2 linked regions of the Mytilus edulis genome follow. The protein of the gene in region 1 interacts with the protein of each later gene in a pairwise test. Links are inferred from orthologs where the notes say so. Each region holds a gene or a part of one and is shown in the gene's direction. Other genes may lie near its edges.

Evidence for each region.
Region 2: the proteins of kinesin-like protein KIF9 (region 1) and protein arginine N-methyltransferase 6-like interact in a two-hybrid assay, tested with the Homo sapiens proteins (2 studies listed by BioGRID and IntAct). The link is inferred for Mytilus edulis from reciprocal best matches to the Homo sapiens genes KIF9 and PRMT6.

The regions. Positions count from the first base shown.
Region 1 is NC_092357.1:41,447,668-41,464,881, reverse strand, and holds the start of kinesin-like protein KIF9, read left to right. Parts: upstream 1-8,727; 5' UTR 8,728-8,825; intron 8,826-10,546; 5' UTR 10,547-10,559; coding exon 10,560-10,706; intron 10,707-11,793; coding exon 11,794-11,959; intron 11,960-12,499; coding exon 12,500-12,653; intron 12,654-13,566; coding exon 13,567-13,750; intron 13,751-14,321; coding exon 14,322-14,405; intron 14,406-15,991; coding exon 15,992-16,084; intron 16,085-16,580; coding exon 16,581-16,793; intron 16,794-17,214. UniProt on the Homo sapiens protein: Essential for normal male fertility and for progressive motility of spermatozoa.
Region 2 is NC_092344.1:70,735,676-70,753,318, forward strand, and holds the start of protein arginine N-methyltransferase 6-like, read left to right. Parts: upstream 1-8,281; 5' UTR 8,282-8,388; coding exon 8,389-8,426; intron 8,427-16,832; coding exon 16,833-16,919; intron 16,920-17,643. UniProt on the Homo sapiens protein: Arginine methyltransferase that can catalyze the formation of both omega-N monomethylarginine (MMA) and asymmetrical dimethylarginine (aDMA), with a strong preference for the formation of aDMA.

The DNA.
Region 1 (17,214 bases):
ACTGAAATTTTATTATGATTATTTTTATCCTGGATTGTTGATTTTCTTCATCACATTGAAATGATAATGTATTACATGTATTTCTACAGGTAAAATTGGTATTTATATCCTGATTCATATATTTATACAGTAACCTTAAATAAACTAATAACTCTTGAAATATTCCCAGTTAAAAAGAAATTTAAAAATTCATCTGGTTATTTTATTGATTGATTACAGTTTGTTTTGCATCCAGTGGCAAGTATTTCATGAATGTAAAGATGATCTTGGTTTTTTTTTTAATAAATTTATATCAGAAGAATATCAAAAGATTATTATTTTTTATATCATTAAAGTGCTGGTAAGCACTGGATGGTAAAGATTGCTTGAATTAACCAGTGGGAATTAAAATTGAACAATGCATTGTATAAAGAGGGGTGTAGGAGGGGTCCTGATCCCGAAATCCTGGGCTTTAAAATACAAAATCAGGAGATCCCAAATTTAAATAAATTTAATCCTGACATCCCGAAAATTCATAAAAAGAATTCCCAGATCCCAAAAGGGTCAATCCCGATATCCCAAGCTTAAAAACACTCGATCCTGGAGTCCTGATAAAGGTCCTTTCCCCCCTTTGTAAAGCATCGGTAGTAAGTGATTCATCTACAATTCTGGAGAAAGGAAGATAACTCTAATTTGAAAGATTACTTAACAATGACATCATTGATATTTTTAGAACAGATATGACATGTAAATGTAGATTCCTGCACCTTACAGAAGTTACAGATATATATGTAACATCATTTTGAAACTTGAATGTCTGATATAAAAAAGAAGATGTGGTATGATTGCCAATGAGACAACTGTCCACAAGAGACCAAAATGACACAGACATTAACAACTATCATACTATAGGTCACTGTACGGCCTTCAACAATGAGCAAAGCCCATACCATATGAGCATATATTTCATTGATAAATATTTCGCAATGATCATTGCACTACATTTTGTTTACATGTATCTCCAGGGGTCAAAATTAACTTGTAGCTCGGCTACTGGACTTGAAAATCAGTTAGCCCAGGCAACAAGTTAATCATGTTAATAGCCCACTTTATTTCACTATCACTGGTTAAAGGCGGCAAAGCCGGCTGAACTTGCTAGGGGGAGCATTTTAGACTTAAAATCCTGTATTCTGAGCATAACTGGAGGTGATTTAGATGCTTGGGAAAACGTAAATTGTGTCTTATTTTTGTTGAATTTAATCAAATTTCTTTCGTTTCACTGATATTATGTCATTACAAGCTACAAATGTATTGTCATCTTAAGGAGGCTCGAGGGTATAAAAATTTCAGAAAAAAATTAAACATTTGTTTTTCATTACAAATTTTATTTATTACCTTTTGCATGTTTTGTAGTTGTTACTTTATCATATGGTACATAACATTCAAAACAATTAATTCGTGTTGACCCATCATTGAAAAAGTTCCAAATTATCTCCCTTTGGTGGAAAAATGCCATTTTTTGGCTTTAAAATTGAAATATGGACCATAATTTGGTATTCGGCCTTTGGTTTCTTTTTGTATCCTTTTTTATAAGTTCTAAAATTTTAACTTTTATTTTGTGGGTTGTGTTGGTGTTAGAATAGTATGAATGGAACAATTGAGTTTTTCGAGAAAAAATTAATACATTTTGATTCACCGTTTACGTGACATGAAACCAAACAGGAAACCAATCTTTATTTTCTTTATTTTGCACAATATAATTCAAAAGGCATAAATAAACACCATTACTAGTGTTACTTGCTTCATGTTAATATTTAAAATCTATTTTCAATGTTATATTAAAGTTTTTTTAAAACCTGACAGGAAACCATAAGAAACCGAAAGCATTTTTTTAGTTTTATTTTATTGCAAAATCTGCTTAAAATAATCTGAACAGTATACTTTTTCTTAAAATCCATCTTAAATGTAACAGTATTATAAAACTCCTAAATATGTGCTTGTTTTGAAAACAATTAGTACAATTTATTCAGAATTTTCCATATTTTCTTCATTGATACAAGATACCATAATCGTTGTATCTTGATGTTTAAGCCAAAAAAATGTATTTATATTTGGTTTTGATATTCCAGTTATATACAATTTATTCCAAATCATTGGCAATGTAACATTCTTTAAATCCAGTAAAGAAAAAAACTTTTAACTTGGAATTAAAATCTTTAAAATAGGCACAATGTGATACTTGTGACCTGTCCACCATCTACATGGTTTCCACATTTTAACCTACTTTAGTGGGCTAAAATCAATAAAGTACTTCCTTTCAAGTCATGCATGGTAAAAGTTTACTTCTCCTTTGACAAGTTTATTGCGTTTCTGATAAGTGTTTGCAGAACATGAATAAAAAATATTAATTAAAAACTGTGACAAAGATTCCAACTTTGTACATTCCAAGTGTAACGGTATATTAACATGTATTTTTTATTAAATTATATTTATTCACCTAAAATATCCAGTAATATTTACTGCTGAAGTTAAATCAATCCAAAGAGCATTGGTACAATGATAAGAGACGTAATTTCGATTGATTTTTCCAAGGACTCTTCACGTCATTATCGGGAAACGAAGTGTGTTCTAACGTCTGTCAAATATGAAATCGATTTTGTCAAGTCATTGGGCATTTATTTTCACACAGGATCGTATGTAACATTATGCACATAGGAAAAATAACAGACCATCGGCGCAATCTCTTTGACAATTGTATTTTCCTCTTTTAAACAAGACGAAACAAGTCTACAGATTAAGTTTGCTAACATCCCGTTGGAAACAAAAACAATGTTTAGACCTAGTATTTCGTACATCCGGCCAGAATGGCGTTATCACATGTTAGTCACATGTTTCACGTATGACTGGAAATGATTAGAACTTAAGGACAAAAACAATTTTGATAAATAACTGGACTTCTGTTTCGTGTGAAATGTAACGCATAACGATAACGTAATTTTCTTACTCAATTATTACGAAGATCAAAACAAGAATGTAAATCATCTCGGATTTACCTGTTTGAACATCTCGCGAGAGTTCATATTTGCATATTGTTTTTAAGAATTCTATTACAACAAAGCAGATTACATCATCTAAAAATTGCGTTACGAAATCGGACACAAAAATCACGCCACTGTTCTTACATCTGCTACATAAATACTTATAGTTCTCGGCATTTTCTTCTCACTATTCTTATTGGTCGATGTTCTTTGTTATTTGAAAGCAAAAGTTACGAATTTGCCGGTGACGATTACCTATAAATCAGTCAGCGTTATGCTCTTCGGAAGCAAAAAATAACGCGAGAAACGACACAAAAATACGGTTGTAGAATCTTTGAAATTCGTATATTTTAATTTTTTTTCTAGGGAAGAGTAGCATACACTTGTATGTTGATAAAAATAATAGCATCTTTAGATGTAGTTGCAACTTTTCTTACAGTAATTCACATTTTATCACTTTTCTATAGTTATAGGAAACGGAGCCCAATAGCAAATTATGGTCCATATCTCTTTTAACTCATCGGTGACCTTTATTTTTTAATATAATTTCGATATATGCTCTACTTAAACTAAACTAGATATCATTGAGATGGGAGCCATCTCTGTGGGCGCCGCTGTGAATAATGTGCATTAAAAAATTGTATCTTTACCATAGGACATGGGTTTGTCAACTGAAATCAAAGTTTTTGACCTTGACCTTTGACCTATGAAGTTGTAAATAAATAATGACACACCCTTTGGTGTTGGTTTATAAACATGTCAAGCATAAACTTTGAAATGATAAAGGTTCTCAAGATATAGAGCGGACACGATCTTTACCATAGGACATGGGGTTGTCAACTGAAACCAAAGTTTTTGACATGGACCTTTGACCTAGGAAGTTGCACATAAATTATGACACACCCTTTGGTGTTGGTTTATATACATGTCAAGTATAAACTTTGAAATGATAACGGTTCTCAAGATATAGAGCGGACACAATCTTTACCATAGGACATGGGGTTGTCAACTGAAACAAAAGTTTTTGACCTTGAACTTTGCCCTAGGCAGTCGTTCATAAATTATGACACACCCTCTGGTGTTGGTTCATGTACATGTCAAGTATAAACTTTGAAATCATAACGGTTCTCAAGATATAGAGCGGACACGATCTTCACCACAGGACAAAGGGTTGTCAACTGAAACCAAAGTTTTTTTACCTTGACCTTTGACCTAGGAAGTTGCACATACATCATGACACGCCCTCTGGTGGTGGTTAATAAACATGTAAAGTATAAAGTATGAAATCATAATGGTTCTCTAGATATGGAGCGGACACAAAGTGTTACGGACGGACGGACAGACTGATCACTATAGGGGACCGCCTTTGGCGGGACCCTAATTATTGTAAAATTTGAGCGATTTCTGTAATAAACTTTTTTTTTATTTCGATATTACCTTTATTTCTCAGTTCAACAGAAAAAAAAACGCTTCTACAAAGATGTATGCTTCTTTGGAAGGCAGATTGTGAGCGCAAATGAAGGGTGACCACATTTTTTAATTTTATTTTTCTATTAACTATAAGATAAAGTTCATTTATTGAAAAATATAGAGAAATCCGATATAAATGATTTAGACCCGCGAACCCCCTTTAGTCAGCACCATTTAATTCAATCTTTACATCATAACTAATGATGATATCAAGTGTCAACTTCTGGAAGTGTAAACATATCCTGTTCAAATAGTTGGGACTGTCGTGTTGCTCATAATTCAATAGATATTATCATGTGATGTGTTTTCGTACTAATAACAATTTTCACTGCTTACGGTTTTCACTGTTGAGTTTTTATTCAGGTGTTTACTCAAATTTGATAAGCATGTCCTATCGAATGATTTGAGGTATCTATTTTTTTTTGTGAAGGCTTTCTACGATTTTTAGCCGTTTCCGATTACTTTGCGATTTTCGTTTGTCAAAATAACGGCGTCATATGTTTTCGTATGAATTAAAAATTGGATCAGTTCAGGGACAGGAAATGACTATATAATCCAGAAATTAGTATTTTCTAAAGTCGTGGTTCTGGTGATCGCTTGAATCATAATAAAGGTTATTCAATACTTTTCAGTACTAGTAATAAATAGTAAATAGTTTTAGGTTGGTGTTTCATATACTGAAATTGTTACATTTTTATTTATTTCCGATTGACACTTGGTTTCTAAAAAGGACATTATTTTTTTTGAAAACAAAATGCAGTTTTTAAAATTTAGGGTTTACTTAATGTAAAAAGTTAAGACTGTTTTCATCTTCATGTATCAAGGATGTATAAAAAGAATTGTCAATAAAATATTGAATAAATGGATTTTGAACAGCCATTTTATATAAGAACTCGAACCATGATAATTTTAACGCGCTTGTTTGTAATAAAAATGACCAAAAAAACACATGAAAGTCACATGTCTTGAAGATCCGATGTCGGGCAGGCAGACGATATAGCTATACTTCATGTAACTCCTGAGGCTCCTCAGAATATTGCTAAACAACTATTCTAGTGTGCCATATTTTTGGCATTGAATAAAAATGGCTAATCTGGTCAGTTTTATTAAATTTGTTCTAGCGTCTTTTAAAACGACTTTGAATATGTTTTAAAGATGTCAAATTGTAGTGTTGTTGTTGTTCCAAATATAGAAACTGAATAACCCGCCACAACATACGCGTGTGAAATCAAAACCGATGAAATATTGATGATACAAAAACATACGACATACGAAAACATATGACACGACGATAATAGAGGGTTGTACCTGCAAAGAAAAACGTGAAAGAAAATTGCCATTTCACAATGAACGAATAATTCAAAATCTCTTGTACATTGATCTTTTTACCAATTTCACGAAACACTTGAAAAACAAACATTTTTCACGGCTGCACATAACATATAGGCAAAACATCGTTGCAGGAAAATAACCCTTTACCACCCTCATAATAAATTTCCAGACATCTCAAAAAAGAAAGGATCTTGGTTACAACTAACGCATAAGAAAAGCCCAAACTGAAAACAAATATCAACATGAACACATGAACTTGTTCAATCGTTTCAAAGACTAAATTATAAATAAAGTCAGTAAGCAGTGCGTGAACTTCGAAAATTTCCATAACTGTCATGATTTTCATATTGGAAATTCTTTTTAGAAAACAAACATATCTATCTATTGCTCTACTGTCATAGCATAAACATATCTCTTTTGGATGAATTTGTACATGTAATACCTTCAGGATCTGAAATTCAAGGGACATCAACCATTTGTTGTTTTGGTTTGAACTCACGCGAGAAATTGCGAGAGCCGGTCTCACTAATTAGCGACAACAACAATTTTAGCGACAACAAGCGTCAACAAGCGACAAGAAGCGACAACAAGAATTATTTTAGCGACAACAAGCGACAAGAAACTATTTAGCGACAACAAAACATTTTTTTTAATTAAAATAAATTATTGCAATAAATATTAAAAGAATATGCAAAAGAAAATAATTTTAGCGACAAGAAAATTAAAATTGATAGAAAAAAATGACATTATTTACATAATATTTTATCATCTATTATGAATAACAGCCAGTATTACGTTTAATTATTGTATTATGAGATTACTTTTCCCAAGGATTTGTATAGTACTATACAAATCCTTGCTTTTCCTTTGTTTAGAACATATTATTTATCTTATAATTTGTTTTTTAAAACAATGAATTATAAGGTGTTGGTTCACTCGTCACAAATTATTTATTTTTCTGTGAACCCCTGCATCCGCACACGATCCACCTTAGCCGTCCTGCGTTGTAGTTACAACCGTCAGCCTCATGTCTACCGACCAGTTCCATTCTACCACCAACCTCACTGAAGAAACAGCCCATACCTCGAAGAAAAGAAAAACCCGCGACGAAGATATGGAAGATAATACAACCGCACCCGCAACCGCACCCGCTCCTACTACGATAACCATCCAAGAGAAAAACTTAGCCCACTTTAGAACCTTACGGAAATTGAACATTAAATTCATCCGCAGCATACCTAAGTACACAAAGTCAAAGTAATTCGGAATACCAGGCATTTTACTTAAAGAAAAAGGGAAGGAACCAGAACCAGGATGAACCACATAAACCACAAACCTAATTTACAAAGAAAAGCCTGATCCACGGACATTTTATTATCAAAGTTAATTTTTATGAACATATCTACCAAGATTTACAATTCCCAAAATTGCGGCAATCATACACTTCACCCTTTACTACCTCAATGGAAGCAGTACCTCCCTCGGAGCGATCCAGTTGAATTGGTACGGGATGGCCAATGGGGTGTTGTCCTATTTGGAAATGAACTGACATTTTATAAACCACTATGAGGACCTCTACACAGACGTGCAAGAATAGCAGCTAACCACATCGTTAATAACTTTATTGACTAACTTTCACTTTTTAATAACTTTATTGACTAACTTTCACTTTTAACTATACTAGATTCTTATTTTAATTTCACTTTCACTTTCTATTTATATATGAACCTCAATCACAGTGACTACGGAACATACCAGTCAAGATAAACATTTGTTTTTATTTCTATTTTTAACTTTTATTCTTGCTACATCATGAACACTGTTTTACATTTTCACTTTCACTTTTATTCTTTTACGTCATAATTAATACAACCGCATTATATACACTTTATGAACATGTAAACTCTGTAATATTGTCCTGATGATGCCGCATTAGCGGCGAAACATGTCGACTCAATAAAACTATCACCTTGCGGTAACCTAGATGTTGTTGTCTCTACATATTATAATGAATTATACTGTTAGAATCAAAATATTATATTCCATTATGCCCGCTCCATATATATCGCCATTCGTTTATTCATACTTTGACTTTGATGAAAACAGATACATACATTATCTCACGGGGGGGGGGGGTAACTTCGATATTTTTTTGGTAGGGGTGTGCCATTTTTGTCTCAAAAAACGTACCCATTTTAATATAACATTCACTGAAATTCAGTACCTATAGTTATATAAATATTTAAGAAAGAATGGCATATACTTATATATATATACAATCTTTAAAATATGACCCATGCTTATATAAGCACTAACTCATCATCACTCATAATTCATAAATATACCAGCTACCCTTAAGTTTTTATATATGAATTGACATCGTTTGGTGCACATATCAATAGCATATTTATATATGATATGTAGATCATACCCCAAATCAATATACAATTATCAAACGTAAATGCAGGATGTCATTAAAAAGGAGGGTCATTTTTATATAAAATCTCGCAAAATTATGACTCATATTTTTGGCACATCCCCGTATACCCAATAATAGGAAGTTACCCCCCCCCCCCCCCCCCCGTGCATTATCTTATACATATTCTTCATATTTGAAAATAAAAAAAAGAAGCTCAATCTCTTTCTTCTTCACAATGTTAAATTTCTTCATCTACCAATATAATAAAACATTTTAATTAGACATATCTGCTCGTATATTTAAAAAAAAAAACCCATTAAATACAAATTTCTTTATATCTAATAAAAAAAAAAATGTTTTCTTGTCGCTAAATAGTCTTCTTGTCTCTTGTTGTCGCTAAAATAATTCTTGTTGTCGCTTCTTGTCGCTTGTTGACGCTTGTTGTCGCTTCTTGACGCTTGTTGTCGCTAATTAGTGAGACCCGCGAGAGCTTCCTTTCTGCGCATGCGCTAAGTTCCTAACAACCTGTCAACAAAGTGTGGGGCAAATTTATAATCACCGTTAAAACTACATTTATGAAATAACAGGTAAGTCTCTTCAGCCGAATATATTAACAAACTTTTGATTACACAAAAAAATCACCCAATTCAGGGACTAATGTCCCTGAATTTGAAGATAAGTAACCAGTTAAAAAAGGGGGAGGAAATTTTGATAAGTTCATGTGTGTAATTTATGAAAATTAGCAAAACTCAGAAGTCACTACTTCTGTTTCTTTTCCATTTCATTTGTTTTTGTCATAAGAAGGGTAATGGAAACTGAGATGAGAAATAAATGTGTTAGGTTATAGTTCTTAATTGGTTGTCCGCCACACATTCATGTCTTGATTACTTGAATAAAAAATTCATGTCTTGATTACTTCAATAAAAACTTGAAGTTGTGAAGACACATGGTGATGGTTGATCTTGGAGGCCCCTCATGGGGGGGTTCTAGTAATCACATAATCACCATTTTTTTGCCAATATAATCACATAATCATTAAATATTTGCTTATCTTTAGTAATCAAATAATCATAAACTAAAAATACAGTCCTAGGTAATCAAATAATCATGAAATATTTGGCTTAATAATCAAATAATCATTAAAAAAACGGCCAAGTAATCACTTAATCAAAAACCCCATGAGGGCCCTCATCTTGGCTATATCCAGTGTTTCCCCTGGGTCAATTATTTTTTTCGCCACCTCTTTGACGCCAAACCAATATATTTTTTACCACTTTGTTAATTTTTTCGCCAAGTAACATTATATTTTTCGTTTAATTCCCCCCTAAAAAAGATGAGTTTGCCCCATCGTTGTCTATGATTATTCTCTCAAACTTATCTTTGAGTCTACATTGTTTACAGTTAAATTGTAATGAATTAACTTTCTAACATTTAGTATGATTTACTATTAAAAAAACGGAACTTTTTTTAAAAGGGTGAAAATTCTTTATATATGTATTTTGAACAACTTTTCTAATAGAGGGGCCACCTACTTTTGATAATAATGAAGATATCAGTCCCATAATATAACAAAATTCTTGGACATGTTTTGACCATATATTATACAAGAAAGATGTACAGTTCTTTGGGTAAATTTCTTCAAAAGAAAAATAGGTGCCCGTTTGGCAAATTGCGAAAATGGCGACAGCCAGCGGAAACCCTGGCTATATCAGACACAAAGAAAGCCTAGGTAAAAAGAGGATGCTAGCAATGAAACTTGTGTTTGTTCTGTAAAAAAGCTATAAGTTCAGGCCATAAAAAGAATGGGTTTGTTTGCCCTAACCCTACCTACCCAGAAAGTAGCTGCCTACTCAAAATCTTTATTGACCTGGTGGTAATATTTTTTTTCATTCAAATAGGCATGAAGACTAATAGACATCTGATACTTTAATTTCTCTTTGCCAAAAAAAAAATATACCTTCCTACCTACCCACTGTCTCAATGTTTGGTTTGAGTTTGGGCAAACCAAAATATTTTTAAGTGTGACCTCATAACAGGCTTTAAAAGCCATGATATGGAAAATATTGTAGAACTGACTTTTGAAGGTCCTGGTCTTCCATCAAGTCTTAGAGAGCACTCTCTCTAGCTGACTTCCTCCAAAAAGTGACAGTCACAATAAACAGTGAAAAAGTCAATATTGGAGAGAGTGGCATTTAACAATTAATCCATTTGATCTTGACCTTTGTTGTGTATTGCTTAAAAAGTCTTTTAAATAATTACAATGTATGGCTAAAAGTTTATATACATTGCAAATAAACTCTTTTTCTAGATAAGTTGACAGGATGTATAGTCGAGGGACCTCAGGTTTGAGCACCTACAGCAGACCGGAAAAGAAACCGAGTAAGAACCAACGTGTTAAAGTATGGTGTAGAGTAAGACCAACCGCTAATTTTGATACAGAACATATAGAACTAGTCCCTGATGGAAAGGTAAGATAGACCAGTCTTGAAAAACTGATGTCTAAATTAGTCTTAAAACTCTTTAGAATCAATCCTATACATGTACAGATCAACATGAATTTGGTTAAATGGTAATTTTTTTGTGAATTATTAAAAGCTGGGTTAAAGTTTACATGGGCAATGATATATCAGTTTTCTTAGGTTTAAAAAAAAATAAACATAAAGTTACACAATTCTTACAAAAATGTCAAAAAAAAGCTTTTCTGCAAAATATATAAATGATAAATTTTCTTATTTACTGCATATTCTTTCTGTCATTATTTTGGCCACATTTTTGTTGAGCCTTCGACTTTAGTAGAAAAAGCGAGACATAGCGATCCTACATTCCGTCGACGGCGTCCACAAATATTCACTCTGTGGTTAAGGTTTTTAAAATTTTAATAACTTTCTTAAACTATACTGGATTTCTAACAAACGTGGACAGAAGCTTGTTTATGATCATAAGAAAGTATCTAGAAGTAAATTTTGTAAAAATAAATTTCAATTTTATCAGTGTTTTTACTTTTAAATTTGATTTAGATTTTCTGCCAGGAAACAACACATTCACTCTGTGGTTAAAGTTTAAAAAAAATTTAATAACTTTTCTATACCATTTTGGATTTGTACCAAACTTGGTATCTAGAAGGAAAACAAGTTAGTATCTAGAAGGAAATTTTGTTAAAATTTGGTACCTGTGTATCTGTATTTTACAAGTTTATAAATGGACTTAGTTTTTCTTCCAGTTAACATTTCATACAGTCTGCAGTTAAGGTTTTTAAAACATTTATTAGATTCATAAACTATCTTGGATTTTTACCAAACTTGGACAGAAGCTTTTTACGATCAAAAGATAGTATCAACAGGAATAATTTTATTGATTTTTTTCCTCATTTTTGTTGAGCCTGTGATTAACAGCAAAAGTAGGCGAGACACTGGGTTCCATGGAACCCTTACAAAATTTTAATCGACATAATATAACTATCAACACTGGTTCGATTTTTGTAAATCAATGTCTGTTTTTACTAAAATTTATTTTCATATCTTCTTGTTGATTTCAAAATAAATTTCTGTTTAACAGAGTGTAAATGTACACCAGAAGAAAGAGTCTGCGAAGGGAGTTGTCAATAACCAGATTCTAGACTGGTCCTTTAGACTGGATGGTATCTTTCATAATGCTAGCCAGGACCATGTCTTTGACACAGTGGCTGCAGATATTGTAACTTCTGCTCTGGATGGTTACAATGGTAAGTATTTTAAATTTTATTGAATCTGATGCTCTTCTAATTTGAATGAATATTTGAAACAGTTTAAAAGTGGCTTAATTGGACTGAAAGAAATTTGATAGAACATTTACATAAATCTAGATTCTGAAGGTTTTCTTATTCTAACTGGTGGAGCAGGTTTCACAAAAAAAGCTATTTTTGTGAAATTGACTCCTAATCATTTGATCCCACATCCCTTAGTACCATTCTTTACTTTTACTCTGAAACTTTAAGTCAATTTATTTGAGTTTTTTTAAAGCACTTATTTAACAAAAGATGTGATTTGGGGGAAGATAAATATTAATTTCCTGAAATTAAGGGAAATACAAATCTTTGTACAATGTACATCATAAATTAAAATGTATACAAGTAACACTAAACAGGATTATTATTATTGCTGTTCTTCTAATAACTATATAAGTATCATTGAGTGCACAATTATAACTGTAATGCAAAATAAAAGATAAGATATTCCAGTGCACACAACCTACTTAAAAAGAAAAAATATATTTAATTTTTCAGGAACAATGATGTGTTATGGACAGACAGGAGCTGGAAAAACATTCACAATAACTGGTGCTACTGAAAGCTATAAACAGAGAGGAATTCTGCCTAGGTCCATATCACAGCTGTTCAGGGAAATAGAGGAAAGACCTGAATATTCTATCACTGTCAGGTACGCTCTCATAAAAACATAATATTTAGAGCTGAGCTTTATATCTTTAACCAAATTTTATCAAGATGGTTAATTCTTTTCGAAATTTTATCACCAGGAAGAAAAAATATGAGGTTTCAAACCAAAACCATAGCTATCATAAAGAACTATTTCAGATTAGAGTAAATGACAATAAGACAGAACATCCATTGCCATATTATTAATATACAGTGAAACCTGACTAAACCGAATCCTGTATAAACCGAAAAACCTGGATAAACCAAACATGTTTGTAAGCAACGTCATATCAAATTATGTGCGTTGTGAACCTGATGAAAATGAACATCGGCCAAAACCGAACAAAATCCTAAGTCCCGATGAGGTTCGGTTTAAACAGGTTTCACTGTATATGGTTAATATTGTTTCAGTATAAAAGTGTTTGTAATATTAGTTATTGAATGTATGTATATGGGTATCTTGATATAAGAAGATCTCCTTTCAACATTTTCATATTGAATACTCACAAAATGTGATGTCCTACTGTAAAATTTCTAGTATGTTGAAACTTGAATATTTTTGCCGTACTTTTTTCGTTGTATACACAAAGATGAAAAAAAACCTATGTGTATTTTGATATAAGAATACTGATAATGCTCTAATGGAATACATATAAAAATTTGATGTTCATCCGTAAAATTGTTAGTATGTTGATGATTTTTGCCTAGCTTCTTTGTTGTACTACACCAAGATGAAAAAAGCTTTGTAAAATATCTACAGTGGTCCAATGGTTTATAAGGGGAACTGAAAAAGAATATTGTTAAACTATAAATGTAAACCAACCATAGATATGTAAATGTTACCTAGTAACTTAATAGCAGCTCATATTTTAACCACCACATTCACTTTTTAAGATTTTTGCTTTTTGTTTTTACAGAGTTTCCTACTTGGAAATCTACAATGAGTCTATGGTAGATTTGTTAGCAACACTGCCAGAAGCCATTAATCAGGAAAATGGTGGGTCAATGTCAGTAGCTGAGAATCAATATGGAGTCTATGTTAAAGGATTGTCTTGTCATCTCACACAGAATGAAGAAGAGGCTCTCAATTACTTGTTTGAGGTTAATATCTATCCTAAAAAATATACTTTCATTTCTATCCATATTTGGTAGATGATTTGTTTGTACGTTAATACTTAATTATTTGTTGAGCATCTTAGAAAAAAGTATATCTTTTATTTACATTCAGTATGACTGCATGTATATTACCATGAGTTTATAAAAAATGATTTTTGATATGAAATTGAGTTGAAATTAATGGATAGGATGATTTACTAGTGTGAATAAAAACTATAATTTCTCATGTGAAATAAATCTAATAATTTGACTTCTCAGATGTCATATAACTATGTGTGTGAACGAAATATAGGATAAAGTTTAAAAAAAGATGTAGTTCCTAAATGCAATATATTTTATACTTTTTTTATAAATTTCTATTAAAAATTCTATGGTCAATGTGATAAAAAGTATTAACTAGTGAAAGAATCCAAATATTGAAACTCATGCACATTCATGAATTAATGTGTAGTTTACTTGTTATGTTCTTTTCAATATTTGGATTTTTTATGAGTTAATTTATCTACATTTAGTATTGCTAGAGGAGCAGAAATAATTTAACTTACTATGTTTTCAGGGAGAAACTAACAGAGCTATAGCAGCCCATTCACTGAATGCACAGTCCTCTAGGTCTCACTGTATATTTACTCTGTATATTGAGGTAAGCTAGATTTGTTTCAAAATCCCCCCTTTTTTTTACATCCCCAAAAAAATGTTGTTGTCTTTTCAATGTCATGATGCAGCTACTTTTGATAGGAGGGGATCTCCAGGTTACGTTTGAACAAAGTCTTGATATGCTTCATTCTGAGCTGTTTGTCGAAATCCTAGTAGCAGAAAATTATTTCAGGTCCTTTTTATAATATAATTTGTAATCTAAATTTGGGATATTGTAGCATTCAGCTTTACTAAGAACTCATCATGTTAAAATTATTTCAGAAATCTTTCTCGTTTTTCATGTTTTTCTGGTGTAAATCATTTGAAATTTGTAAAAATGCATGAAAAGTATAAATTCTGATTTATCTTTTATGCAGAAACAGTTGAAAGAAATAAAATTATGTGTTTAGAGTGATGTCCCCTTCTTTTGGCTTGGTTTACAAATTTTATTTTAAATTAAATCAAACATCAATAATGATCATAAAAAACCTATTTTAAGCATCATTAAGTAATTATCTTAGAAATCTGTCAACTTTACTATCAATTATATTAAAGTGATAAAGAAAAAATTGTAAGCGTCCTGTAAAATTGATACTTCATAAAGTGTTTAGATAAGAAGTATGATAGTTGTGTTATTCCAGAACTTCATTACGACGGACAATTGTATACCATAATATATAGCAACTGCTAAGCGCATGATACGCCTATATATTAATCTTTGAAGGCTACTATGTAGCTAACTACTTTTTATGATTACAGACTGTCCTAAATATTAAAATATCATAGAACTGTTGAGCTATAAACGTATCAGTATGCCAAAATCAACTTTAGTCGTAAAATTTTGTGAATCTAATCACATGGTCTAGCCCACATAGTTTAGCCTGCATATCCATAACATTACTAGCATTTTGTTTCAGTTTTACAATAGGAAAGAAACAAATAACTCTTTAGGTGAAACAATTCTGAAAAACTTTGTGCACATAAATGTCTTGTTCCATTTTCTAAGCTGAGCTGAACATTGTTGATGTTGCATTAATACACTATCTAGATCTAATGTCTTAGACTAAGGTGTAAAAATTCAATATCTATATATCTGTTTTTATACAGGCTTTATATATGATATCTATATGACTGACTCTATTGGATATAATTTGATTATTTTTAACATAAAGGTATAACACAGGCGCGGATCCAGAGGGGGGGTTCCGGGGGTTGGAACCCCCCCTTTTTTTCGACGATCAATGCCTTTGAAAGGGGACATGTAGTTGGAACCCCCCTTTGTCCTGGGTTAGGAACCCCCCTTTTTAAAATGACTGGATCCGCCCCTGTAAGAAATGAATGAACTTGATGCCTTTTATTACATTACTGTCTTTGATGAGCTGCTTTTTTGAGGGACTGGATTTGTTTATAAAAAATGGAGAATAATATGCTAAAACAAAGAATATGGGTAAAAATAAAATGCCTATATAAAATTTAAGAATACAGAAATAAATATTCAACATTCAGACATACTTTTCTTATCATTGTAGTTTGCTTATATAGCAGAAATTTGGAATCGTTTTTATTTTATGAATGTTTAACTTTTATTTACAGACAAGATCAAGAGTGCAGTCCAATGCTAGATATACAGTTTCTAAATTGAATTTTGTTGATTTGGCTGGATCTGAAAGATTGAGTAAAACTAAGGTTTGTTGAATTATCTCCCTTTAATATTGATTATATCAAAATTAATTTTGTGATTTATTAGAAATGTATGCTAAGCATTTAATTATAATTTTTTGAAATTTATTGTATAAAACTGTGGTCTGAGACATGTATATAGAAAATGCCATTTTTAAATACTTTATCAGCAAGGATTCTGGAACAGTCAGTCTGATATTCCAGCTGATAAAATCAGTACTGACGTATAAAATTAAAAAATGAAAAATGAAAAATTAAATTCTATTATAAAATTGCTTCATACTATAGGTTTAATTTTATTTACCAGGAGTGACATTTGAAATAGTTTAATGTATATTTGCTCTTGAAATAGTTGCAAACAGAAGGACCTGTATATACAGAATTTGAAGGAATAAAAAATGAAAAGTTTTAAATATTTATAAAATGAATGAAAGAGTAAGTTTTCTTCAATTTTTTCAATATTATATTTTTACATGTTTAATAAGTAATTGTTATTTTTCAGTCTGATGGAAAAACACAACAAGAGGCAATGTACATTAATAAATCATTGACATTTTTGGAACAAGTCATTGTAGCATTGGCAGATAGGCGTAGAGAGCATATTCCGTTCCGTCAGTCCAAACTAACACATTGTCTCAAAGATTCTATTGGTGGAAATTGTAATACACTCCTGATAGCTAACATATGGGGAGAAAAACAACAGTTAGAAGAATCAGTAAGTTGCTTGCTAAAGGAAACTAAACAATACATTTATCTTTTATGAATCCTCTTGATTATAACCTGAAAATTACATCCTTTCCCATGATCAACTTTTTTATATTGTGAGGGCCTGAAGACTTTCATCATGCATCATCATTTATGGATTTTTATTTGAAATGGTCATACAAAACTTCTTTTAATTTATCAAGTTTCTACACATTACACATGCTAAAAACAAGTGTCAGGTGGTGTAGTTTAGATATTCTTTCAATTTGAAAACAATATAATTTATAGTTAAAATTGTCTTCTTCAAAGAATAAAACTTTGAAAGGATTTAAGAGTACACTAAATACTGGACAGGACAACCAAAATAATAGACATACATAACTTAAAGTTAAATTAAATCACATAATAAAAAAAACGCACAGAACAGCTAC
Region 2 (17,643 bases), on another chromosome or scaffold:
TCCACAAGGGAGACCAAATGACACAGAAATTAACAACCATATCGTGGGTAAAATCAAGTGCTGCGTAAGGGTCAGCATGTCCTGCTCCATTAGTGAGAATCGATATTATCGCAAGACATACGAAACTTTAACGACATACGGTATAGTAATAGAGCAGAAACTTGTACAATTTGGGGAAAAGTTTGCATTACATAAACTGAAATCATCTATTTAACTCAATATATTATAAGACTATCTTACATTGGAACACTATTGAACCCTTGTGTTCTTGTAATAAGAAAATTTACATATCAAAGGTCAAAGTTATCCATCCCCTATTTAATGTTTTATTCTACGAATATATTTTAAGAAAAGATCATGTGCCAAACAATTTTTAAAGGACTGTTTTTCTTCAAAATACCACATTTTCTTATTTTCCTCAATAAACTGGTCTCAATTTTTTTTTACCTTACTGGAAAAAGAGGGTATTTTAGTTCGGGGAAGTATTTTCGCCTTACCTACTGCTATCTGTCCAAGTCCTCCTCTAAACAAACAGATATGTACCGTTGACTTGAAATTGAATGTACTGACGATCAGCAGATGATATTTAAGTTCCTAATCGAATTTCTTTAATTTTAACTATTTATCTCTCAAAGGCTCAGAAGAAAAGAGCATGAACTGCTCATGAATTAAAAAGACAGTTTGGCGAGCCAAAAGGCTCAACAATGCTTCCATAGACTTATTGAAAAAGGCTTCTTGTAGTCCGGTACCGATTAACAAATCCTGCATGTGTCATATCTACCCTTGAACTATTGAGTGTTCAAATATCTAGCTATAGACCGTCACTTCCTATAAACCCAGAGACATTGACGTCTACATCTCAGAAGTGCATATCGACATCCGTACGGCAAAGACTGATAGGGACATTTTGTTGTTACATGTAACATTTTTTCTTTTCCAAGTTGACCGTGATTTCTGATGTGACAGACTTGATATATAGATAAAAGAAGATGTGGTATGAGTGCCAATGAGACAACTCTCCATCCAAGTCACAATTTGTAAAAGTAAACCATTATAGGTCAAAGTACAGCCTTCAACACGGAGCCTTGGCTCACACCGAACAGCAAGCTATAAAGGACCCCAAAAATGACTAGTGTAAAAACATTCAAACAGTAAAAACCAACGGTCTAATCTATATAAAAACGAGAAACGAGAAACACTTATGATCAACAAACGACAACCACTAAACATCAGGTTCCTGACTTAGGACATGTGCAAACAAATGCAGTTGGTTTAAACGCCGACCTTCACTCAACCTGAGACAATAATGTAACATCACAATATAGAAAGAATACTATAAAATATCAATTGAAATAGCTGAACTAAATCAAAAGACAAATGAACAAAAACAAGTGAACATACACTGAACGAATAAATTAACATGTTTAAGCAAATTTGAAGTATGACAAAAATGTATCTACTGAAAAATTTGGAATAAGCACTAAAAAATTTAGAATATATAGGTAACAATCGTCATAAAAATTTGATACATAAAAACTAAGAAATTCGTCAATTAGCACTAAAAAATAAAAGTACGAGGCTATGAGCCACTTTAAACATATTGAGACACCTATAATATATATATTTATCATATACTTAGACTAAATAACATATGATTTTTACCGTATGATAATAGCATTAAATTAAAGTATTTTCCATATTTTTCGAATTGGTGCTTAGCGGGCTGATATGAAAAGTTTATCACATGCTTCGATTGTTATCACATGCCTTTCCGTATTACGTTATCACATGGCATTCCGGTGATACTCGGCAAATTCCGGAAACTACACCTCAATGCTACATTTTCAGTGAAAAACATTACAAAGTAGTGAACAAAACAATTATTTGAATACTGGAAAGTATGTTGTGTAAAATAATTAAATTAAATTAAAAAAAAAAAAAAAAAAAAAATATTGAATAAATGCATTTTGAAGTTTTTCTGAAACATTATTTAGAAAGTTACTTTAAAAAAGTTGACTTTTCTAAACAATGTTCATTATGTATATTGTTGAATTATTTTTTTGTCGATTTGTCCATATTAACATGTTTTGTTTTTTTTCTCTGTTGAGGCATATGATAGAAAGATTTCATTTTGAATGAATCAAATTTTGGGTCCGACGTCCGTGAACTTTTTACTCTTTCAACTTCTTTTCGGGAACCACGTAGAAGGATAAATATGTGAATCTGTTATTTCCCTCTACTGTTGAAGCATATGATAAAAAGATCATAACATGTCATTTTTCATATCGCATGTATTATCAGCCCTCGGTCAATATCAGCCCTCGAGCCATGCGGCTCGAGGGCTGATAATACATGCGATATGAAAAATGCCATGTAATAATCTGATAATATAGAAGATCCGTGTGCTAATATAAAACTAAATAGAATGAAGCATAAGGATTTAACTGTAAACAAAGCGTTTGCAGCAAGCAAAAAATAAAAATATAATTATCGAAGCCAGACCAGAAAATTTTTGATGTGCTGAGCATAGATCCAAGCGGGAACCCATGTGGCAATCGCCTCTCTGAGTCTCCGCATAAATAGCTATGCGCAGAGCATTTAGATTAGATAGTGTGACAAAAAGCAAACGTGACCAGATTTTAACTATATGCAAGCTGAGCAACGGCAGTTCGAAACATTCAAGAACTGAAGCAAGATCTGAAAGAGACTTTTCAGTACTGAAATGGTTTGGCAAGCTATTCCAGAGTGAAGCAGCAGTAGTTTTGAATGATCTCTTATCGTATGTACTAGTTCTTGTGTGTGGTATGTCCAGGATGTTACTATACCTAGAATAGTATTTTGAGGTTCGTTATATTGACTAGATCACTCAAACACACTGTTGCCTTACTGTTAAAAATTTTGTAAGTTTCAAGTACCATTGTCTTGAATTCTCACCTGTAGAGTTGTCACCTTTATCACATGCAGAACGGTTTCATATGATCAGGTAAAATCACATACAAAACGGAGTGATCTCTCCAGCACTTTTCCTAACTTCTTGGAGTTGGTGTCCGTGCAGAAGTGCCACGCTCCTGAGTAGTCTCTATATATAGAGGACAACAATTCAAGTTTCTTAAAAATAAAAGTATGAAATATTGTGTTTTTTTAGTCTCGATAAAATAGACCCCAAGAATATTTAGTTGTTGTGACGTCTTTCTGCACGTCAAGCTGTTGATATGAGCATCAACTTTCAGATGATAATCGATATCAATAAGAAGCAGCTTGAAAGTTTCCTCACAAAAAAGAACATTTCCTTGGAATGGAAAGCGAGGATTATTTGCAAATGTTTCCTTTACGACGACAATAGCCCAACTTCGGTAGTGAATCGTAATCCTTGGCTAGCGAAGATGACAATAACCTGAAACTTGTCAGGATTGACCTACATTTTGTTAACATTGAACCTGTCAATAAGCACTCGAGAACCAGATGCTAGTGTATATATAAGTGAATTTAAACTGGACTGCCAAAAGACAATTGAGGTTTTATCATCAGCATAATTATGTAAAGAACTCACAAAGTAAAAATATCGTTTTTGAGGTACATCTTTCTGGATGTCAGCCCAACTACTCAGAACACCATTGACTTTAATTTGTTGTTTTCTGATAGCTAGAAAGATATGAATGCAAGAGGGATACTGAATGTGTAGATACACCATGAGGTAGTAAGTTGTCCAGTAAAATATATCTTTAGACACTTGCATGGCGATAATTAGATTTTAAAAGAGGAGAATTCTTTTTATGCAGCGATGTAACTTGATATTCTTTGAGTCTATCTGGAAAAACATCCACATCAATATACTAGTTTATAAGCCTTGTGTTGCGGGCTGATGTACAATCTAAGATATTTACTCTCCCTAACAATTTTTGCTGGTTTGCCGTCTGCGTCCGTTTCTTTTTAATGATGATCTTATTAAAAAAAAATCAAATGTATGTGATGTCACTCTTTGAAAACTGTAGTTCGAATCTGATGTCTCATTTACTCCAATATTTGCCTTTATCTCTAAGAGATGTACTGTAGTGTTGATCTTTTCCTATCTTCCTAGCAACAGTAATAAAAAAAAAAAAAAAATACTGGAAATTTCCACAGAATCATTTATGTTCCAAGTTGGAACTGAGAACTGCTATCTTGAAACTGGAAAATGTCAAGCTTTGCTTGACAAATGTTAACTTGAATGCAGAAAAATTACGTTGACGTGAGAAAGTCAAGTTGGAATAGGGAATGTCAACTTGGATCAACTTGGAACTGAGAAAGTAGATTGTTTAAACTTATAAAGCCCTGTTGTTGTAATTTCTTCAGGATTAAAACCAGAGAATATTCAAATAAAAGAAAATTAGTTAAAATATTAACGAATATTTACACGACAAAAAATTAAAACACAAACATATAATTATAATATATAATAGAAAAAAGGGGGGTCCATTCCCCAAGCGCCTGTGATTTATTTCGCAATACTATACGGACAAATAGGTAATAGTACTGCAACCAGAGTTCATTTTTTAAAACTTTAATGGTCCGGAAGAACACACACCTAAATTATATATCGATGGAAAGAGGAAAACGTGTATAATAAGAAAAGTTGGGTCGTAAAAATCCAGTGGTCATAATTTTGTGAAATTGAGGTCAAAGGTCAGACCTAAAAATATCAATATTTCAACCACAAGGACAAAAAGGAGAAATATTCTGATATTTATTCAATAGAATGCTACAAAAACGATTCAATCATAAGCATATGATATAAACGATGTTAAATCGACAAATTTGACTACTTATATGAAGAGCTGCCATTACAAAATGGCGTTGATTTGGAACCTTCTGATTTTTTTCCATTTAAGACATAACAAAAGAAGAAGTGGCCTTGACCTTTTCACATCCATAAACTTTCATATTGTGTATAGTATTTCACTATAGTATATTACAGAATTATTTTCTAAAGTTTAAAACACCACTTTATCAAATTATTTCAATATTTTTTCTATCTTTGAAAAAAACAAAATTCAAGCGCTGAAACAGTGTTTTTAATTTTGCATCTTAAAGGTTGTGTATTTTGTGAAAATTAGTATATAGTTATAGATAAATACATATTGTGTTTTTGCAAAGTCTGGACAGAGCAGTTATAACACAAAATATACTATAGTCACCCGAGGCGAATGCGAGGTCCCTTTTTTATAAGAACAAGTTAGGCGCAGGACAGAGTTTGTTCAAAGTAAACACAGTTTTTGAGTACAAATGCTATCTAGAGCGTAAATGCCGTCATGATTCGGTCAAACTCGTCAGATATAGTCTTACCTTTGCATAGGAAACACAAAAGAAATGTGAGTACAAAGTTTCGATCAATGTTCGTGACCCATATTTCCATATGCATATGCATGATGTATCTGTACTGCCAATCCCAAATGTAATGGGGCGAATGTTGCTACAGAAACGATTGATTTTGTAATAGCCATACGTTTACGAATTTTTGTTATCTTTAGGGACAATATACGGTTCAGAAGCGTCTTTGTGTTATTTTTCATCAATTAACTAACAAATGAACTTTTGAGCCTAGGCTCCGTGTTGAAGACCGGACCGTGACCTTTAATGGTAGCATTGGCACACATATAACATCTTCCTATATCTATTAACAAGCTATGCGAGCATCCTTTCCATAGAAATACCAAAACGAGGACATAGCTCATAAGAGCACTGGTGGCAGGGTGAAGTAATTGTTCTTCTTTTAATGTATCCTTGATATTTTCAGACACACCTTGGTGTAATTCTGAAAGTCTTAACATAGACTTCAATTTTCCTGCAGCAAAATGGCATCCCCTAAATTGAGTTCAGAGCTAAACTATATTTCATATCCCTTGGCCCCACTGTGTCTGAATTGTAAGGTGTCACAATATCTAGTTAGTTCTGGAGTTTGGCAGTTTGGTAAGCATCAGAGACAATTTTGGATAAAATTGATCGGTATATATAGAGGATGCGTGCTACATGAGAAAGGCTTTTTCTTATGGAAGAACAAATAACATCACTAACAATCGTTATTAATGAACTGACAGCAAGTTCAAATTCTAATTTTTCAGTAACTGTTTTACTTAATTGCACAGGTGTTGACTTCAATAAGTACTTGGTTATGCATGGATAAATGATTACTCACATTAATAAGCACAACTTAAAAGATTGTCAACACGTTTAAAGGACTCAGTTTTGCGTAGTTTTCTGGGGGTTTTTTAAAGGTTTTTCTTTTACACAAAAACCCTGTTTTCATATCCAAACTACAAGGAACAAACTGAGCGCGAGATCGTATAAAAGTGTCAGGTTGTGAGGATACATGTCGATTAGTTTGATCACATATATGGATTTCTGTTGTTTCTAATTTAAAGTTCCCCAAGGGTGACTGGGGAAACGACATATGGTCACTTGGTCTTCCTTCGACCGGCAGTAAAACGAAGTGGGGCGTCCGTTTGGCTGTGCGGGATGTTTCAAGTTCGCATTCACGTCCGGTCAGAATGGGGACGTTAAATCCGATGCCTCGTGTAAAGGGAGTGTCACGTTCTTTGCACGTTAAAAACCCTTGCATCAACTCTTTGAGGGGTCCGTACATGGCATGTTGCAATGGACAATTTCTGTCCCAATCCAATATACCATCATTTTCCATTGGCAGTCTAAATTTTCCCGATCATCATCCCGAATGGCCTCTATTATGACAAAACCTACCTATTGTTTTTATTGTTAACTTGTTCTCATCCTGAACATGCATGAAATATTTGCCACTGGACGTTAAGCAACCAACAATCAATCAATCAATCTAATTTAAAGATGCACACCAAGTTTGCCTTCTGGTACAAGTTTCATAACATCACTGATGATTCGCCCACGGAAAGCAGAATATCAAGAGAAGTTGGTTTTAGCATCACCTTGTCACACACCAAATCTCTGCGAAACTTCAATAGTACTTTTTCCCCCGACCACTTGCATGCATATTAATTGCTCTGAGGTTTAATAAACATTGACATTTTCACACAATGTCAACTATAGTCATTATCCGGAAAAACCTCTTATCTGAAGGATTTGGTTAACTTTTATATAAAGTCAAAATTTTATTAACAAAAATATAACTTTTTTACAGAAAATACACGAAAGAACTACTATATATATTAAAATCACTCAAAAATAAATTAACTTCTCCTACAAAATCTACATAATCACATCGAAACTATCAAATTGATTGTGAAGGAAAAAATAAATGGTGGAGCAGATTGACGGATAGGAAGTTTCCGTAATTAAAAAAGGTACAAATGATGTTTTTATTTTTGAGTTTTTGACAAAATTGTTTGGTATTTGCCCAACAAAATTTGCATGCAGTATCGCAATAATATGTTTTGTTCTCTCAAATGTCAAATACTGTTTTTGAATCACATGTTTTCTCGTTTTCAAAGAAAAACGCGGTAAATTTCTATCTAAAAAATCAGCCAACTTTAAGTTTGAAAGTTTTACATGGAGATGGTATTATATTTATGTCTTCATCATTCCGATGATCCTTGATGATATGTGCATAGAAAATATTTCCGAAAATAGCGGGAAAGTTAACCAAAAAATATATTTTTGGATTTTAAGGTAACTACCCAAAACCGTAAATTGAGGGGTACCCCCATTAAAGGGATAAAATACAAAAATGTGACCATAGAAACTTTTTACAACCCCACGGAAATTAAAATATAGATATTATTCTATCATTTAAAACAATTTGCAGCCGTGTGTTATTCCGGACCATTAAACTCGGTAACTAAGCGTCTTTTTCGATGTCAGTTGCAGTACTAAACTCCTGCCCACAAATAAACGTTTAAATTTCTTACACCATCAACATGATCAATCTTTGTCATAAAATCTAAAAGATTTCCACTTTCATACAGTCTACAGCTATTTTATGCTGCGTTCATACGTAATTCGAATTCGATTTGCATTAACTAATTCTAATTAGTTTAATTCGCATTCGAAACGTTTTACGTCCAAACGTAAATTCTAATTCGAATTGCAATGCGCGTCAAATTTGCTTTACTGTCCGAACGACGTTTACTTTAAAAAAAAAAACCGGATTTCTATTGCAATTTGGTTAATGCGAATTAGCCAATTCCAATCAATTCGAATTGAAAAGGAAGAGTGTGTGAACGCGATTAGCGAATCCGATTCGCATTCAATTCGAATTAAATGTACGTGTGAACTAGGCCTTAACATTTCCTGTGACTAGGTAGTTCTTAACCGATTCGCGGGAAAAGGGAGATAATAAAGTGCTTAACCACATTTATATTTTCAACTTTTTGGAGGAAAGCTATCATCTGACAGACATCATTATCATTGAGAAAGATCTCGGAAATGAATGCTGACGAGTCGAAGCCATTCGAACCAAAAAGGTATTTATTTATATTTAATATTGATGTTATTTGGCTCGACTGAACGCAGCAGCTAAACAAAAATGTGTACTAGATACTAGTCAGATAAGGTTCATGTGGACCCTATGGCTAAAATGGCCGTTTTTTCACACCAAAATTTACTCTGAGTACAGGCAAACCTGTGCATCTGGGAAAGTTTTAAGGCATAGCATGCCCTAGATATAAAGAATTCAAATGCAATGTATGATTTAGAAAATTCATAACTTAACTGGATTTTGCCGCACACTTTTTTTCGTCCCTGCAGAAGATGATAAAATTAACAAACAGTTGAGTTTACCTTGATATGGTCCACTCAGATACACAGTTTAAATAATTTAAATAACCAATTATTGTCAGGTATCTATTGTCCATCTCATGTCCATGTCAAGCAATACAGCTCACTTAAATTATTACCTGTGGGGAAGTTCTCAAACCTGTTTCCCAACTTAGTTTATTTTGACACCTTCTGGAGGAATGAAAAAAAGTGCACGGCAAAATCCTGGTAAGTTTTTATTTTTCTAAAACATAAAACATATTTGAAATTTATTTATCTAGGGCATGCTATGCCTGAAATTGTTTACAGATGCGCAGGTTTGTCTGTACTCAGAGTAAATTTTGAGGTGAAAATACGGCTATTTTAGCCATAGGGTCCACATAAACCTTAATCAGGTTGGACACAAACCACCAACAGACCAAATGGGGAACTATTCCCCAAATGAGTAACAATCCCTCATTTGACACTCATTACACACAACAGGACACAGGTCGGTCATCTTAAAGTAAAGAGATCACATGTTATCTCAACTCCAGTAACAGAGGATTAAGGTTCATCATAAGGAATTGAAAAATATGGCCGTGTTAACACCTCCAAAATTACTGAGTACAGACAAACTGGTACATCCAGGAAAGTTTTAAGGCATGGCAGGAACTAGATATATAAAAGTTATATGAAGTCTACGTTTCAGAAAATTAAAAACTTACCTGGATTTTGATGTTCATTTTTTTCCAGTCTGCAGAAGATAGCAAAATAAACAAACACCCGAGTTTCATTTGATACGGTCCACTCAGTTACACAGTTTAAACCTGTTAAATCACCTATTGTTTACAGGTGTCTATTGTCCATCTATTGTCCATTTAAATCAATACTACTCACAACATTGATTATATGAGGGGAGCTTCTCAATCGTTTTCACTACTTAGTTAATTTTTGCACCTTCTGCAGGAAAGAAAAAAAATGGATAGCAAAATCTAGAAAAGTTTATAATTTTCTGAAACATAAAATGCATTTAAATTTTTTATATCTAGTTCCTGCCATCCCTTAAAACTGTTGCAGGTGTATAGGTAAGTCTGTACTCAGAGTAAAATTTGGGGTGTAAATACGGCCATTTTAGCCAAAAGGTTATGATGAACCTTAAGGAGAGCTGGACATTTTTTCAACACATGTGCTAATGAATTGTGAAATGAATTATCTCATTGGCAATCATATGCCACATCCAATTTTAATACTTCTGCAGATAGACCATGTAGACCAGACATGATTAAATGAGGTAGCCAAGTCTATGATTGCATAAATTATTTGCTGTTCTTTATCTTAGAACTGAACAGTATACAGAGGGGCCTGATGGGTTATTTTCGTTCTTCATGATAGGCGCATCTATCATGTGTATATAAGCTCTATATTCATGTACAAAAATATATATGGATAGTCGACCTTCCCATGGATAGAAACAAGTACCCTTGGTTGAAATGCAACAATCATGTATGATATTATTATGATATTTTCACACAAAATTAATTATAGTTCTCTCCCTTTGTCCAGTTTGCACAGCCCACAATGAAATTCAACATGTGAGATGTGAAAATTATCATAGGCGGAAGACTGGAGTGGGCCCGCTTTAGGTCAGTCAGCGGGCCCCCCCCCCCCCCCTTAAGAAAAGTTCTTGATCCGCCACTGATTATTATAGATTTATATATTCAAAAGTAATTTGTACTATAATTTTATTTGATAAGAAAGATTTCTTCTTCTGACATACATGTGTAGTGGTATTTGATAATCAGTCTTTTGTTGCCATGTTATTTTTACTTAGTTAATTTGCTTCAGCTGGGATTTTTCAGAATTTAAGAAAAATTTCGGCTAAATTTTATTTTTCTCTACCAACCCTATTTCTTCAACTCGCAATTCTTCACATTTATTAAAGGTATTATGAAAGGAATTTCTATCTAACTTTCAAAAAAAATTTGAGAAGGAAGTCCTATAAACACATGACCTTTTTAGTTTGGCTTAATGATAAATAGGTTTTACTTAAATTGTTGGCAAAAACGTTGGTGCTAATTTTGGAGGGTTGGACAAAGGCTTACAGTCTGTTTGTTTGATGCTGGCAGGTATATGGATCCCTGAAATTTACAGGAAGATTGCACATATATGTTTGTTGAAGTTGTGTGTCTTATATAATGGAATTGATTGAGTTTTTTTCTCAATTTTCCAGACTTTGGAACTTATTCCTTTTTCAACAAAATTTATGTAAGAGGATACAAGTTGTCAACTTCTACAGTTTTCAACCAAGATCCCTAAGACTTTACAGAAGATTACACACATGTTAAACAGGTTGAGAACTCTAGATTTTCTGACGTCAGAATATATTTGCATAGTAATTTCCAAAACACAAGGCCAATATGGCCTTGAAAAACTGACCAATCGACTAAATGAACTACAATGCATTGTGGGCTACTACGAGTAAACTACTACTTAAAACACGTGGAATTAGTGGGAAAACAGTCAATTAATATATTGTCTGGGACTCTCATTACCAAAGTTTTTATTCTGCAAATATATTTAATGTAAAATATGTAACGTAATCTTCAATTTGCATGCTCAGATTAAAAAAATATTGTTTATTGGCTTCACGATTTGACTTTCGCCTTGCAAAAGTAGTTGAACCGGTTTTGTGCATTGCTATGAATTGAACCTGCATTAATTTCACGACATGACACAGTGAAATATCCAATGAAGTGACCGCTGTCCAGTAAGAAAATCATTTGAGCTCTTTTAAACCTGTATAATGTCATTGCAAAATCATTTTTGCCTAGAAAAACACGAAACTTTCATTGAAACACTTCTTTCTGTACTGAATGTGTATATTTTTTATCAGGACCTGAACTAATAGTAAGAACATCATAATACTCAGTATGCTAAAAAGAAGTGTTATGAAAGCGGCAGGGGCGGGTCCAGCCATTTTAAAAAGGGGGTCCTAACCCTGGACAAAAGGGGAGGGGGTTCCAACTACATGTCCCCATCCAAAAGCACCGATCGTCCAAAAAAAGGGGGGTCCATCCCCCGGAACCCCCCGCCCCCTGGATCCGCCACTGAGCGGGTACGGTATACAGCTCAATACATTTTTTATAGTTTCATCCATCGATAATATCCGTTTGTTGCTAATTTTATCACAAAATATACCTCAGAGGTTTTTTTTATCGTTCGGCTGCTGTCCTATTGACATATGTAAAATATCTCCAATATTAAAAGTCTCTGGATCATAGTGGGTGCCATATTACCTATTTTTTCTTCTTCTAAAACGTGCTTTGTATATAGAAATAAGAAGATGAGGTATGAGTGCCAAATGAGACATCTTTCCAACAAAGACATAATTTAGTAAAGTAAGCAGTCATAGGTCCAATGCTGAAAAGTAAGCTATTAATGACCCAAAAATTACTTGTGTAAAACAATCCAAACAAACAAAAAAACAAACAAAAAAACGGCCCCATTAAATATTAAAAGGACAAGAAATCTATCCCATCAAAAAAATATATTGTATAGGAGCCTGTATTTCAGTGGTTGTCGTTTGTTTATGTGTTACATATTTGTTTTTTGTTCATTTTTTTATATAATTAATGCCGTTAGTTTTCTCGTTTGAATTGTTTTACATTGTCATATCGGGGACTTTTATAGCTGACTATGCGATATGGGCTTTGCTCATTGTTAAAGGCCGTACGGTGATCTATAAATGTTAATTGCTGTATCATTTTGGTCTCTTGTGGACAGCTGTCTCATTGACAATCATACCACATCTTCTTTTTTATTATAGATCCAACGCTGCAATTTTCACAAAACATATCAAATTTTCCACCTTGTCGCACATACATATGGATAAAATCATTACAGCTTATTTCCTAATGCATGTGGAGCAAAACTTTGGTTAGCTTGCTTGCTTTGTTTGTATATTGTACAAAATATAAAATATACAAGTTAAACTATTCCTATATATATATATTGTTTAAAGATGTCAATCTTATTTTCAAAGCTTGTATAAACAACTATACAAACAAAGCAAGCAAGCCAACCAAAGTTTTACTTTGCAGGTTTAAGAAATCAGCTGAAATGATTTTATTCAGTTTGGCAAATGTCCGAGCCCGTTAAAAAACGAACAAACTGAAACTACAGTTACTGACTTCGCTACCTTCAAAAAAAGGGAACAGTTTGGAAGTTCCATATACTGAAATGTGACCAACAAAAATACTTGTAAATATTTCTTCGCCTTTTTTACGAACACAAAATTCAAGGATCCCACATTTGCCTTTAATTATCTATACGAACATTGCTGTACTCTTGAATATCAGCACCGGCTGTTATCGACGGCTTACTTTACACCAGTAAGTTTGTCTCATGGGTAGTTGTGTTTTTTCGCTGTTGTTTCGTTGCCTCTGGTGGACAAATACATGAAATCTCTGTGCCATCATCAAACATGTTAATGGCTATATATCGGATAATTCAAACCCTTTTTTCTTCGCATAGAAACAACTCTTCGTTAATCTGAGCATGGAAGTAATACTTTATATCACGAACTATAAATGAGGATACACAAAATGAAAAACTAAGCGAAATTGTGAATCCCGCATTGCACGAAAAAATGTGTTGTATTTCAGTAAATAACACGTGTTCTTGGTTGATTGTAAACACGTAGTAGTCCATCATGCATTGTGACTCATTTAGTGGATTGGTCAAAAACCTAGGTAAAAATAAATTGCGTCACATGTAAATAAACAATTACATGTGCGAGAACATAAGTATGCTAATTTATGCATTTCTATATAAGGTAGTGGTCCCGACCTGTTAAAGTTGAGCAAATGCTGGCTAAAAAATAGAACATAGGGGAAAAATGCAGTTTTTGACTTATAAATATCTCTGAAACTTAAGCAAAAGTATAACGGTTGCATTATTTCATGCATCAATTGTAAATAAAAATATCAGGTGAGCGACACAGGCTTCTTGGAGACTCTAGTTTTTTCTCTCCCCCAATTTATATGATTGAAAGTCTAAAAGTTTTTCTGTCAGCATCATGACTTTGTTGACTATTTTTAAATGTATATTAATGTCACAGACAAAATTCACTAGAAAGGTGGAAAAAAATCAAAAACAATTACGTGTCATAAATAAACATTCTTATAAATGAGTATAAATTTCAATGTATTTAGACATTTTAAATTGCACAATTCATATTATAATATTTTTCATGTCAAAAACTTTTATTTGATTTTTAAATATATGTTGTTATAGATATCATAAAGAACATGAAGAAGGGAGAAAAACTATTCCAATTCTTGCATAATTATCAAAATTTGTGAGAACTGGAAGCTGCCAAATAAAATTCACAGACATAGTTTAATGTATTTAATGCATGCCTATCACCTGAGCCTATCACATGATTTTTTTTCTGCAATAAATTTAATTCAATTAAAGAGAGAATTAAACAAAAGTTATAAATATTATTTAGCTGGTTTGGCATTAAGTGTTAGATATTTTTACCATTGCACATGGTGCATATGTTTTCAATTAGATCAAATTAACCAGTACCTACATTGTATATAACCTATTAAATATCTAAGCTTTTTGCCAAGTTATATTAATAATTTCATAAGATATATAAGTCATATGGCACATGAGATTAATGTTAATTGAGATAACTGTGCCTTTTTTTCACAAAAACAACCAATATTTTTAATACTGATCATGAGAATGTAAAATTAAGTTTGAAAACTATTGGAGCCGATTTTATTATTTTAAAGTTGATAACAATTTGAGAATGTTAAAGATAAATTATAACTAATGGTTGTTCTTGTTATGTTTCGTTTTAATAAAAATCAACTTTTCAGGTTTTTCGGTCCATGCTGAATTAAATTCTTATAGCCACAATTCAATTTACCCAAAAAAAATGTCATGTTACTACATCTAATAACTGCAAGATTATAATTTACGACTTATTTTTCTGGCAGTCATTTTGAAACTGTCTTTACTATTGAATTAAAATAAACCATGCTGGCCAGAAAACACATTATTATGGCATGATATTGTTGTCTCTTTGACTCGTTCCCCATTTCCATTCTCAATTTTAATGAATGTAAATACATAATTTCCTTTGTTTAGGGGTCGGGCCATAAAAAAGATTATTTTTGTTTGCCCTAACCCTACCTACTCGAAAAATAGCTGCCTATCTCTTCAATCTTTTATTGGCCTGATGTGAAAAAGTTTTTTTTAATCAGATAAGCATGAAGACTAAAATCATTTGACTCTTTGTTGAAAAAATGCCTACCTGCTTCCCTACCTACCCACGGTTTCAACCTTTGGGTAGGGTTTGGACAAACCAAAATATTTTTCAGTGTGGCCCCAGCTGAACCCCGGAGCGTCCATGTATGAGATTTTCTTGTTGTGTTGAAAACTCATCGGTGGCCTTGGGCAGTTTTCTGCTCTTTGGTCAGTGTGCTGTCATTTTGACCAATTCCCCATTCCACTCTTAATTTTATATGAGGGTTTTGAGATTATATGACAACATCATTCATGTATAGTATAGTAATATGATGCAATCTTATTCCATTTCTTAGAGTCTTTTTTACTTAATTTATCAAACAGTGTACTTAATAATATTCTCATTAAGTAATTCAAAAGATGTGTTGAAAACCACTACCTGTATTATTTTCCTAATTTATATGAAAAGTCCTTTGATTAATTAGATAGATAAAGGCAGATGTGGTGTGAGTGCCAATGAGACAACTCTTTGATTAATTGACTACTTCAAACATTTATAAAATGTCAAAGTTCAAATTTTTCAAGTATTGAACCATTTGTGTGAACTTGAAATAAAGTTTACAATATTAGTAACAACAGATACAGATACAGGTCTGCTTCGATATTTTAGTATGACTTACAATATAGAAGAGAGGGCCATTTTGCAACTGAAGTGTAAGGCAAAAAGGAAAAATATTTTAGTGTTATTAATCGCATTCAAGCTTCATTCCAGAACCACCTGAAAGAGGAATTTGAAATTGACAATTTGTTTTATGGCACGTATATGTTACTCTCAGTTAATTACAAATAACTTATATTGTTGCAGTGTTGGATCAAAGGGAAGGGATTTTTATTCCCCCTTTATTTCTATCTCTTTAAATTTATATGATTGAAAATCGAAAAAAATGGGTCATAATCATAACTTTGTTGACTTTTTTATAATGTATGATTATGTCACAGAGACATTATTTCCTAAAAAAGTTGGAAAAATTGAAAATGTTTATATCAAAACATTTTTTTTTTTAATATTTAAACATTTCAAATTGTATTTTTGAGATTATAATATCATTTCATGTCAAAAATACATATTTCATTTTTAAATTGTTTTAGTTATCTATATCATGAAGAACATGAAGAAGGGAGCAAAAACTATTCTGATTCTTGCATAATTATCAGAATCAGGTTAAACCTGAGTTATTTAAACAGATAGACAAATTCCCAGAACACCTGACATTACATTGTACAAGTACAAATTGATGTTTGAATTTACAGATAAGGTGAAACTGCGTAACATGTGATACTAATCACTCTAAAACAAATATTTATATTGTCTTCTTTCATCTCTAAAGACAGTGTTTTAACATTGCTATCAATTACCAATTATTTTAGTAATTTGTATATATTTCCTAGCAGAAAATATATAGTTTGGAAGAAGGTGTAAAAGATTTGTTTGAAATTTTATGGACCTTTAATATATATTAATGGATTGGATGTGATTTACTTTAATATTAACGTGTCGACGAGCATGGCGAAACAAGGTGAAAATTGAGATGTTCAAACAGAGAATTATAGATTTAGATAGATAATTACTGTATCTGTTAATGGAACATTGTAATTACAATTATATAATTACAATGTTTTTTTATCATGCAGTTTAAGCATTAATCTTGTGCTCCAAAGCATATATATATATAGAATTCAGATATACTACATAATATACTACATGCAGCCAGTATTGGAACATATAGATCTATTTAGAATCTAAAATTTAAGCTTGGACTTTTTGTTGACTTTCAAATGGAGTTGTTAGTGTACTTGATTAATTGTTTTAGACCTCGTTTACATGTGGCTATGATCAAAGAAGAGGATGGATTTGAGACCAATAAAGAGAATAACAGTCAAGATGAAGAATATTTCAAGTAGGTGTTTAAGAAGATTAGCTGCATTTTAATTCCATTTAAATGTTAAATTTAGTATTAGAAAATAAGGTCTTAAAAATGGTCAATTAACATGTTCATAAGGGCAGACAGTAAGCTGCATTTGTGCATTTAAATTTAACGTTATTTTTTTTTTTTAATTTTAGCTCACTTAGTCCATAGGGCTTTGTGAGCTACAAAAATGTATTGATATCAATTTGTGTTTGTCTGTCTGTCTTATCAGACAATTTAGACTTTTATGGGCATTCTGTTTTCTGGTCTGTCTGCCTGTTTGTCCATCCATAGATGTAATACACCATTACATCTATGGTCCGTCATACAGTCCGTCTGTCCTGCTTCACGTTAAAGTTTTTGGTCGAGGTAGTTTTTGATGAATTTGAAGTCCAATCAACTTGAAACTTAGTATACATGTTCCTTATGATATGATCTTTCTAATTTTAATGCCAAATTAGAGATTTTTGCCCATTTTCATGGTCCATTGAACATAGAAAATGATAGTGCGGATGGGGCATCTGTGTACTGCGGACACATTCTTGTTTATTTTGTATTGTTTTGTATTTTTCCAATCAATGGTTTTTATAGCTTACTATAAGATTAGGGTGTTTGCTCATGAAAGCAGTATTGTTAACTTGGATAAAAAAATATAGTCAATTTTGATCTGATTGGCAGTAAAACCATTGAAAAGTGGAGAGTCATTTTTGCTATG